Notamacropus eugenii: one gene and its partners. The main gene of each other region encodes a partner of the protein of the gene in region 3 in a complex. Links are inferred from orthologs where the notes say so. Each region holds a gene or a part of one and is shown on either strand. Other genes may lie near its edges. The genes, in order: PPFIBP1, PHLDB2 and ERC1.

What was found.
Region 1: ERC1 (region 3) and PPFIBP1 share a complex: the UniProt entries of both Homo sapiens proteins name them as parts of the cortical microtubule stabilization complex. The link is inferred for Notamacropus eugenii from reciprocal best matches to the Homo sapiens genes ERC1 and PPFIBP1.
Region 2: ERC1 (region 3) and PHLDB2 share a complex: the UniProt entries of both Homo sapiens proteins name them as parts of the cortical microtubule stabilization complex. The link is inferred for Notamacropus eugenii from reciprocal best matches to the Homo sapiens genes ERC1 and PHLDB2.

What each region holds. Positions count from the first base shown.
Region 1 is NC_092874.1:218,743,093-218,746,840, forward strand, and holds the start of PPFIBP1 (liprin-beta-1), read right to left. Parts: upstream 2,390-3,748; 5' UTR 2,349-2,389; coding exon 2,285-2,348; intron 1-2,284. UniProt on the Homo sapiens protein: May regulate the disassembly of focal adhesions. Did not bind receptor-like tyrosine phosphatases type 2A.
Region 2 is NC_092876.1:356,289,356-356,293,103, forward strand, and holds the start of PHLDB2 (pleckstrin homology-like domain family B member 2), read right to left. Parts: upstream 2,446-3,748; 5' UTR 2,330-2,445; intron 2,176-2,329; exon of another isoform or gene 1,998-2,175; intron 1-1,997. UniProt on the Homo sapiens protein: Seems to be involved in the assembly of the postsynaptic apparatus. May play a role in acetyl-choline receptor (AChR) aggregation in the postsynaptic membrane.
Region 3 is NC_092874.1:204,593,471-204,597,218, reverse strand, and holds the start of ERC1 (ELKS/Rab6-interacting/CAST family member 1), read right to left. Parts: upstream 2,383-3,748; 5' UTR 2,120-2,382; intron 567-2,119; exon of another isoform or gene 473-566; intron 1-472. UniProt on the Homo sapiens protein: Regulatory subunit of the IKK complex. Probably recruits IkappaBalpha/NFKBIA to the complex. May be involved in the organization of the cytomatrix at the nerve terminals active zone (CAZ) which regulates neurotransmitter release.

The DNA of each region.
Region 1 (3,748 bases), about 14 Mb from region 3:
TTATAATAAATAAGGAGAGAGTTAATTTTCCTTGATGAATTCAAATCACCTGACCCAGATGTACTCCATCCACAGGTTCTAAAAAAAAAAAAAAAAATTGACAGACACAAAAACTACACTACTGTCAGTAATATTTGAAAGATCATGGAAAGCTAGAAGTATCCTCTAGAACAGTGGTTCATAAGTTTGGAGAGACTGGCAAATGTTGTCCCAATGTAGTCCTTCTAGCCTAAAAAATATTGGAGAACAGACCCTCCAGAATTTTGGACGATGAGTTTAACTTCACTTCCTGGTCAAATTCTAGATCAGATAAAGAGATGATTGTTGAATATCTAGATAGGAAAGCAGTAATTACAAAGAACCAACACAATTTTATAGAGAACAAGCCATGCCAAACTGATCAGATTTCTTTTTTTGATAGTAGATGAGAGAATGCTTTGGATGTAGTTTACCTAGAACATCTGCAGAGTTCTAAAAGCTCACCACCAAAAAGATTTATACTCAGTTAATGCATTTTTATATTGTTTCCTCACTAGAAAAATATTCAGAGGTCAAGTCACTGGCTGGGAAAATGCCCAGAAAAGGGAAAAGAAATAAGACTATAGAAGGTTACTTTCTTGGTGAACAGGCATTTCCTCCCTTCCTTTCTGATGAGGAAGAACAATGCTTACCATCAGGCAAAGACACAGAAATCAAGGCTTCTGTGTCCCAGCCCACTCAATGGGCACAGGCCATGGAAGAGCTCAAAAAGAATTTTGAAAATCAAGTTAGAGAGGTGGAGGAAAAGCTGGGAAGAGAAATGAGAGACATGAAGTCAAAGCATGAACAGCAAATCAGCTCCCTGCTAAAGGAGACCCAAAAAAATGTTGAAGAAAATAACACCTTGAAAACTAGCCTAACTCAATTGGCAAAAGAGGTTCAAAAAGCCAATGAGGAGAAGAATGCTTTCAAAAGCAGAATTAGCCAAATGGAAAAGGAGATTCAAAAGCTCACTGAAGAAAATAGTTCTTTCTTCCTCACTAGCAGAGAGTAAGAAAAATGAAGGCCTAGCCTGAATTGGAGATGCTGTGGGATACACACCTCCTCTGACCCAGCCAGATACACCAGAGGAAGTTTTATGAAGCAAGGACATTTGCCATTCTCTGGGACGGGGGAAATAAGTATGGTATTGAAATGGTAACATTGCTAAATAACTTCTGAGGCCAAACAGCCCCAAAGAGAGATTCCACAATTACAGAATAGAGAGTCCATAACAAAGTCCAACTGGACTTGGGGAAAACATGATGTAATAAAGAAAATACTGATCTTAAGAGTTAGAAGAACAGAGCTTGCATTCTAATTCCAACAATAACTACCTCTATAACCCAGGGACTGAACCTCTTGGCTTTTTTATCTGTAGAATAATAATAATCTTCATACTGCCTGCTTTACAAGACTGTGAGAGTGCAATTTTGCAAAAAACTTAAAAACATTGGAGAAATATGAGTGATTACTACTGTTCAATTTGATCTGAAATCTATCTTCTCTTAATTTTCATCTACTGATTCTAGAACTGATGAAGAACTGATTCTAAAACTGGTTCTCAAAGTGTGATCTTGGGAGCTCTTGGAAGTCGCTGAAGTCAAAACTATCATTATAATAATATTTTATACAATATATTTAAGTTCTTTTCTCTAACAAGAAACTACTGATAGATATAGCCGACATACACAAAAGCTCATTGGGCAGGCGAGGATCTCAATAATTTTAAAGAGCGTAAAGGGGGCCCTAAGACCAAAAAGTCAAAGAACCAGTCATTGTTCTAGTGTACTAAGTCTGACTCTGATCCTTCCATACGACAGACAGCCCTTCAAATGTTCTAAGGCAGTTATCACATTCCTTCTTTCCCCAAGTCTCCTCTTCTACAGACCAAACATTCTCATTTCCTTTAACTGTTTCTCATAGGGCATGGCTGCCTCATGCATCTCACCACTGTGACACGTTCCTCTAAACAACTCTTCTAGATTTTCAAAATCCCTCTTAGTGTCCACAAATGGACACTACTTTGCAATGGTCAATCAATCAATTATAAGATTTGGAAGCAAGAAGGGAACTGATATTTTCCAACCCCCATATACATATTTACATATATATGGGAAAACTGAGATTTAGCGATGGGAGTTGATATGTCCAAGATAAGCTACTATGAGGGTGTGATGAAACTGATCAAACCAATATAATCTCCTCCTTCACAGGAACAACTCATCACTGAGTCTGGATTTTAGAAGCTGGAGACTGATCTTACCTGCTATGATACCATCCATCTGCTCCAAAGCAGCTGCCAGCATATCGCTGGCATCACTCATCATTTTTCTAGTTTCTCAAGTGGGGAATGAAGTCAAATCTGGATCTGAAACAACAAAAAAAAATGATGGGGTTATTAACTGCACTCAGAAAAGTATCAACGCCTCCTTGACAAATTACGATTTCAGTTTTCAAGTCTCTATGCTAAGGGAGAAGTCCTGAGGTCATTTATTCACTTGTTCATTCAATAAATATTTATTAAAGACCACATGCTATTTGCAAGTATAATGATCAGATTCAGGAGGAGACACAGATGACTCTTATTAGTACTGCTTTACTAGTAATAGTTGACCTTGTGAGGCAGAAGCTCTTATTGCTCCATTTTCCAAATAAGGAAACTGAAGCTGAAAAAGGTTAAGTGACTTGCCCTGTCATACAGAGCCCAGGTCTGTAACAGAATTTGAATTTAGGTCTTCTTGACCAGTCCAGCATTCTATTCACTAGGCTATACACAACATCTCAGTCTAGTTGGTAACATATAGAACTATTAAGTATTTTTAACATTTTTGGGCAAGAGTCCACAATCTAGTCCAAAACTAGCCAACCACCCAACTTTTCACATTTTAAAATGCAATAAAACTATTTTAAAATATAAAAACCATGTGTAGCTCTAAGGCAGTCTAAAAACAGGTGGTAGAACTTGTCCCTCTTTCTGGGCTGAGCATTAATTTGCTCACCCCTGTTTTAGGGCATCAGTTCTCAAACATTTTAATTTGACGATCCCTTTATACTCTTAAAAATCACTGAGAATTTTTTGTCATTAATTACCTTAAGGTATATGCCTACTAGTGGGACCTCTGAGTCAAAGGGTAACAGTTAAGTAACATGTTTTGCATCATTCCAATCTTTTCCCCCAGAATGCTTGCACTAATTCACAATTCCTGCATTATGTGCCTGTTTTTCCACAAGCACCCTAACTTTGCCTGTTTCTATCTTTCTGCCATCTTTTCCAGTTTGCTGGGCATGAAGAGAAACCTCAGAGTTGTTTTGATTTGCATTTCCCTTATTATTAGTGACTTCGAATTTTCTTTCATACTGTTGTTAACAGTTTATAGTTATTTTGAGAACTATATACTCATAGTTTTTTCAGCACTAACCTATTGGGGAGTAACACTTTTAAAAAATGCTATAGTAATATTTTTTTTTTTGTATTTTTTATATCCCTGTGTATTCCTACAATTCTGCCCCATTGAACCTTTCCTTGTAACAAAGAAAAGCAGCCAAGAAAGATAAAGTGTCCCAGCAAAAGCATCTGATAGGGAGAATGTTTCATCAATTTTCTGGAATCAGAATCATTGCATTTAATTTGCATTCTGATATCTCCTGGTATTTTCATTTGCATTATTTTAGTCATAATTTTTACATTTATTTTATTTTCACTTCATTTTTTCAACAAGTCATCCAA
Region 2 (3,748 bases), on a different chromosome or scaffold from region 3:
TTCTTGCCATAATTTTCTGAGAATCCTTTTATTCTTCCACCTCCATAATAGATCCAGACTGCACCCCCTACAGTCAAGGTCTTGGGCCTCATCCTAAGAGCAACAGCTGCCAGCTGCTTGAAACAGATTGAAGATTGCAAATTGAGCAAAATGATGACTGTACTAAAACCAAACATCTCATTTTTCCATTTGTCAGTGAGACTGGGATTTGTAAACCACTAGGTCTCAAGAGGTGAAGGCTGCAATGGTTACTTACGTTACTCAAATGCAGTAATTTTTCTTCCTCCCAAGTAATAATGAATGTATGTCTTTTATGGATCATTCATAATACCTTTAAATGACTAAGTTAAAACCATGAAAAAGGTCACTGCTTTATTGTTTTTCAGAGAAACTTAGTCTTCTTCCTTACAAATATTTTTATCATCTGGGGAAGAGCACCCAGGAAATAAGTTCTTTTTAATACTAGACACCCTAAATGTTTATTTATCCCAAATTCAACAACTTGTTGCTATCCCACTAGAATCCAAAAATCCAACTGTTTTTGAGGCATACATGTAGCTATTCACACTACATTCAACTACCTCCTGGTGAGACTGAATTTAAGAATCCTGAAGAAAAGACATAGATCATTGAAACACTTATGCAAACCAAATCAATCAGAACCTCAAACCCAACATCTCAACACAACAAAAAATGTTATTCATATATAACTTGGGTGAGGGTCACAAATATTAACCACTTACATTTAACTGAGTATTATTTACAAAGAACAAAAGTATTCCTGCTGCACCTAGGTGGGGCAGCATTCACAGTGGTAAGTTACCTAATAGCTGGAGACCTTGGGGTGAGTTAGGGAAATGCAAGGTGAGAGATGAGCCTAGAGCAAAATGGTAAGGGCAGAGTTGGGAGGATAAAACGTTTAGTCACAGATTCAGAGACTTACACTTGGAAAGGATCTTAGAGGTCAACAAGTCCACCCCTTACTCCCATTTTACAGAGGAGCAAATTAAAGCCCGGTGAGGTTCCGTGCCGTGCCCTAGAGATCCCAAAGGAAATAGGGAGCAGAACTCTCGTTAGAACCCAAGTCCTTTGATTCCAAACCCATGACTTTTCTCCCCCAATCCCACTTAGCCTCTTTCTTTCACGTTTCTCTTTTGCATAAGAAGGGTAGATGGATTTATGGAGGAGGTAGATTCCATTTACAAAGCTCTTTAAAACAGGAAACCCCAGCCCTTGGAGCTACTGCCTGTCAGCCTTTTAATTTCCTGGCTCTGGCTGGGGTGAGCCAGGTCTTCTGCTTTAATAAGTGACTGCCTGGATCAGTATTATTAAATCTCCTAAACAACACAAAAAAAGTGAGCATCCCCCTCCTCAAGCGGCTGAGGCCAGCACGTAGTCTCGGTTTTCCTAACTGAACACCGGGATATGTCAAACAGGCAACAAAAGCCACGGTTGGCGTCTGGGGGGGTTGAAATTGAGAGGTAATTTACACGCCCGCAAAGTAAATAGGAAAAGTCCCAGCCGGGAAGCTCCCACCCAACTTCTCCGCCTGCAGCACAGCCTTGGTTCTCACTGCACCTCGGGGTAACCCCAGTTCTGCACTTCGGTCCCAAAGCCCCATTCGAAAGGAGGTGCTTCTGGGGTCCCTACAAATCTCTTAAATTCTCCCTCTGGGGGCTGTCGGGAGAGAATCAGGCAAAGTCTGTCTCCTATTTTACAAACGCAGCCGCCGCGCCCCCGACCCAACACATATTCTCACCCTAGGGAGCCCAAGATCAGAGGGAAAACCCCTTTAGCATCCGCTCCTCTCTCCCAACAGAGGAGGTCCCCCAACAGTCCCCACAGGTCCTTCTTGGTTCCCCCTCCAAGGCCATGCAACTCTTGGCTGCTTCTTATCCGACCCCGAGCCTTTCCCTACTCAGCGGAACCCCGTCCCCGCTTTTGTTCCCGCTGCTGGGGGTTAAAAAGAGCAAAGAAACTTCCCTGTCCTCACTAACCTTGTCATCCTTTCTGCAGCGGGTTCCTGGACGTCCCTCTCTCCCCAGTCTGCCTTTGCCCTGCCCTGCCCTGCCCCGCTCCACGAAATCCCAATCTCCGTCGGGACGCTCCAGCTGCAGCCCGCCCTCTTCGGAACCAGGCAGAGTAACGCTGGCCCCCCACCCAAGGGCCCGCCAGATCTCCTCCACCTCCTCCTACTCACTGCCCCGCAACCGGCTGCAACCAATTCCGGCCCGAGGGGGAGAGAGAGCCCCCCGCGCCCCCCACTGAGACCAGAAGAAAGTGCCCCACTCCCTTCCCACCTCCGCCATGGGGCAATAGTCCTACTCACCAGTCCGTGACGCCGACTCCCTAGCCCGGGGTAGGAAGGGAAGGGAAGGTATTTACCCGGAGCCCTGTGTGCCAGCTCCCCCCTCCTCCCTTCCAGTGGTTGGCTCTGCTTCTCCCCTCCCTCTCCAGTCCCCTTATTTATGACCCTGGTTAGGACTGTTGTTATTCCTATTAATGAAGATGGGGATAAAGACTTCTGGAGGCAGATTGCCAGGATGGCTGGTACTTGTTATTACGCCCCATTATAGAGAACTATCTGTTCAAAGCCTAGTCTGCAGCCGTTCATTAGGGATTTTTGCGGAAAAGGGGTGGGATAGTGTAGGATCTGCCCTTTACTCCACACCCGCTAATTGAACTTCTCCCGGGAAACTCCTAGTGACTGCAACCACCTTTTGACAGTTTGCCTGTGGGGCAGTTTTCTTGGTGTGTCATAAAGTTGTATACAGCGAGTTGGTACAGAGAGGAAGGAATAGTCTGTAAACTGATAAATAAAATAATAATAAAAATAAAACCCGTCCTAGCCAACACCTTCAACCTTTCCCAGTATACAGTGGGAAGAATATCTGAAATCCAATCCCACCACCTCTTGGATTACAAAGAGATAAGTAATTATAACAGCTCTTTTTGTGGTGTCCATCAACTGGAGAATGTTGGGGTTGTTTCATTCGGTGGTATTCTACTCTTTGTGACCCCATAGACCATATGGTCCATGAGGTTTTCCTGACAAAGATACTGGAGTGATTTGCCATTTCCTTCTCTAGTGCAGTAGTTAAGTGCGCTAGTAGTAAGTAGTAAGTCTGGTGCAGAGGTTAAGTGACTTGTCCAGGGTCACACATCCAGTAAGTGTCTGAGGCTAGGTTTGAATCCAGGTCTTCCTGACTCCAGGCTGGCACTTTATCCACTGAGTCCACCTAGCTGCCCATAGTAATTAGGACCTTGATAAATTCTTACCAGAACAAGAAAAGTTTGCAAGATTTGAGGGAATGGAGGTGAAAGAGAATCACATCGTTGTAAAATGTAAACTCCAGTAAGGATTCTTCCTTTTTCTCTTCCTTCCTTCCTTCCTGCCTGCCTGCCTTCCTTCCTTCCTTCCTTCCTTCCTTCCTTCCTTCCTTCCTTCCTTCCTTCCTTCCTTCCTTCCTTCCTTCCTTCATCTTTGTATCTTTAGTGGCTAGTCCTGTGCCTTGTGCATAATAGGTGTGTTCTGATTTGGATCTGACAGGTCAATTCCCTTTTTAATTTAAGTCTGATCTCAAAAAGTTCTTTCAACAATGAATAAAATAAGCTTTACTTAGCTATAACCAGGAAAGGATAAGCAACAATCGAGTGCTCCCGAAGTTGAAGCCCTGCGGATCACTTTTCCCTCCCTGGTGCCCTCCCCAACTATCTGCAGGCAGAGTATTTGCTTTGCACATTTCCT
Region 3 (3,748 bases):
ATGTCATTCTTTCTCTGATGGCATGGTCTTCTTCAGCAATGAAGAACAAACACACAACAATGTAGTGCAGGAAATAGTAAAAAGGAATGGAACTAAGATTTCATTGATTTAGGGAACTCCCTCTACCAAGGCAAGTAGATCTCTGCAACTTTTATGTAGTCTTAAAGAAAACTGCCTATTACACTGACAAATTAAGTGAATTGCCCAAGGTCACATCACAGGCAGGACTCGAATTCAGGTCTTTCTGGCTTCATAAAGCTAATTCTCCATTGTCTCTCAGTAGTAGCTTTAAAAATTAGTGAAAAGATTGACATCTTGTCTGTAATTCCACTAAGTAACAGAAAAAAACACCTTAATATCTGCATAAGAAAGACATGACGAGCAGCAAGTAGCACTGTTGGAAAAACAAGATATACAATTTCCTTCAGTCAAGCCATTCAACAGAAATAAGTGACCTTCATCTTCTGCCTACCTCACACTTGGAATGTGAATCAAAAATGTCAAGCTTCTCAAGGGCAAGCAATCTTTCAGGGGACTGGGGTTTTTTCTCTGTATCCCAAGAACCTAGAACGTGACAGGTATTTAATGCTTCTTAAATTCAAAAATAAAGATGCTTGTCCTAACAGCCTTGCGAATATCATTCTATTAGCATAACTTTACAAAATTTCATTTAACAACTTATTTCATATTTTGTTTGTGTCTACCCTAACTGAATAGTATAAAAAAATTTCAAAACTCTAAACTAGATATATAAATTTTAATTTTCTTGTTACCTCAAAAATAAAAACAAGTCACTGCATAATTCCACTTTATACTTGATTTCCTTAAAAATGATTAAACATTTTCTTTATAGTTACAATTGGAATCACACTTTGTCTCAGTTAATACTTATTACCTCCTCTTATTTCCAACCAATTTGTGCTATAAGCAATCCTCTTATTTATAAGATATGAAATAGCTTGCTCAGTTAAGTGAAAATAAGTAAAAATACCTATTTTACTGAAACTGACAGATGCCTTCTAAAAGTACTGCTCTAATTATTTTTGGTGGCATTGACTTACTTTCCAAAGTTAGATAAATCTAATGGAAATCATTCTCTACATTTCTTTTTGGAACTGTTTCTTATCCTGTAGAAGAAAACTACTGGAAGAAATATCAATCATACCTACTTCCATCCAACAATAAGTAGTAGGTAAGGTCAATTCATTGTGAACTCTAAAGAGAAAGGAGGCAAATCTAAGGCAGCAAAGTTTTATTTACTGTGCTAACAAGAAGTTTAAAACAGAAACGTAGGTAGCATCTTGGATAACATCTCCCTAGGATGGGATTTTCACATTTTCCTGGAAAATGAGATTACAAATTTTACCGGAAAACAATGCACAGTAAATACAAGAACACCAAAAACTTCTCCAAAGTTAAAGGGCCTATTTGGAGAAATACTTTATTTTTAAGCAGAGATTTAATTGAAATCTCTGCTCATCACAAAGAACAAGGTATCGATCCCTTAAAACCACACAGCTGTGTTTGTAACCGTTTTTCAAATACCCATTCCCAACCAACCCAGATTTCGGGGAATAAAGTGGCCAACACTCTCCGCCCGGCAGAGCGAGCTGTCATCCACAAGTGCCCGTGTCAGTGGCTTAGAGGCACGGCTCCCAGGGCCTCGCTGCTCCCGGCCGCCCCCCGCCTTAGAAACACACCCAGGAGCCCCGCGCAGGGCCAGGCAGCCAGGCTCTGGGAGCGGGCACAGGGGCGGTGGTCACCTCTGGGAAGCAGGTGTGGGCAGACCCAGCCCCCCTGGCCGGCCGCTCACCCAGGCCGGGCTTCTCTCACTCAGATCCATTCATCGCGGCACCTTCCCTCCGAATAATAGCGGCCCATTTTAAGATGCCAGCCGCAGGGGGTGGGGTGGGGGCGGGGGTCTGGAGGCGGGGAGAGGGATCCCCCGCTTCCTCAGCAGTTTCATTCACATCAGTCCCCTCTAAATCCCCAGAACGAACCTCGCGCTTGCCCCCCAGGCCTCCGCCCCCTGCCTCTCATCTCCCCCAAGCCTGCGCCCGGCCCAAGTCTGGCCCCGAGCTCCCCGATGCCCGCATCCTCCCTAGGTATCCCCACAAACCTGCCACCTCCGTCCCCGCCCAGTCTCGCGAGCCGATAGGGTGGGGCTGCCCGGCGGGGGAGGGGCGGCGGCCGCGGAGGAGAGGGGGAGGGGCGCGGAGGAGGGGGTCCCCGGCGCCTCACCTTCCAGCCCCACCTCCCTCCCCCGGGGCGCTAGGGCCGCCGCAGGCTCCGCCCGGGCCGAGACGCCGGAGGCAGCGAGCTCCGCAGGGGCGAGACGACGCTCGGGTGCCGGCCGAGCCGAGAGGGCGCCGCGGTGCGCCCAGCTCCGAGGGCCGCGGCGGCGGCGGCTGCTGCTGCTGCTGCTCCTGCTCCTGCCGCGGCTGCTCCTGCCGCTGCTTCGCCTCCGCCACCACCTCCCAGGCTGCTGTCGCTGTCGCCGCCGCCGCCGCCACAACCAGAGCACAGCCCAGGCGCCTGCCTACGTCACCGCGACCCGCCCAGTCCGCCGGGCGCTGAGGCGCAGGGAGCCCCTCCTCCTTCTGCCCCGCCCCGCTGCTTCCCCTTCGGCCAACGCCGACCTTCCAGGTCTCGCCCGAGGTCTCGCCCGAGCTCCCGCCGCACGCGCGCGCCGGAGGCTCCCGGGATCCTTCCAAGGCAAGGACGGGGGCGGGGCAAGTCGGCGACGGGGGCGCGCGCCGGGAGCGGGCACACGCACAGAGCCGACCGCCCTCCTCCACGGGCGGGCACGCGGCTCACACACACGGGAGACACATGACTGCCCTCCTCCCCCCGCAGATAGCCACCCGCACGTCCCAGGGCCTTCCTCCACGTTCCCTCCAAGGAGAGCCGCTCCAGGGTGAGGAGACCTGGGGGAGGTGAGAGAGAATGAGGACAGGGAGTTCGCGCCTCTGCGAGTGAGAAGGCTTGGGGGAGGGGCGGGGCCGGGGTCCTCCAGCCCTGGATGGTCTAGACCTGCTCCGGACCCGCATTCGCGCCTCTTCTCCGCCCCCCTCCGCTCCCGAGGCCGAGCAGTGCCGCCTGACCCTCCGGCACCTCGAGGATCGCCCGTCCCTACGAGGGTTGTGTCCGGAGGGAGCTGTGGACTTGGTGTCTGGGACCTGGGTTCAGATCCTCACCCTTTTCCCCTCTAAGCACGTCCCGTCCCCGCCGCTGGCCTCGTCTTTAAAGTGACCGTTGTGCGCCTCCCTCCGACCTTTACTGACCAAGTGATCACCCGATCCCCACCCCACACGCGCTCATCTCCCACCTCCCCGTCTTTCCCTTAGGGTCAGGCAGCCCCAGAACGCTCCCAGGAGGTGCCCGCGGCCCCACGTGTTTGATGGTTCCTAGGAGGACTCCCCCTGGAGTCTGGCTTGGCTTCAGTGGCCATGGTCTAGCCTAGCCTTAATGTTGCCTTTTAGCTTTGGCACTCTTAGGGAGTCACTACTGACTGGGTGACCGCAGCCTTGGCTTCCACGCGAAGTAGGTGATACTATCCGAGGCTGAAGGAAGGAGAGTGTAATGGAAAATAAAGAGGGGTGTCAGTGTAAAATTTTTGGCAGAGCCTCCCTCCGCACACTCAGGTTCCCCTTTGCAGACCCCTCCTTTCTCTCATTTGTGGCCCCCATCCAAATGATCTGAAAGCATTGATGTCTAGGATTCCCCAAGGGTAGCCTCTGCTCTCTTT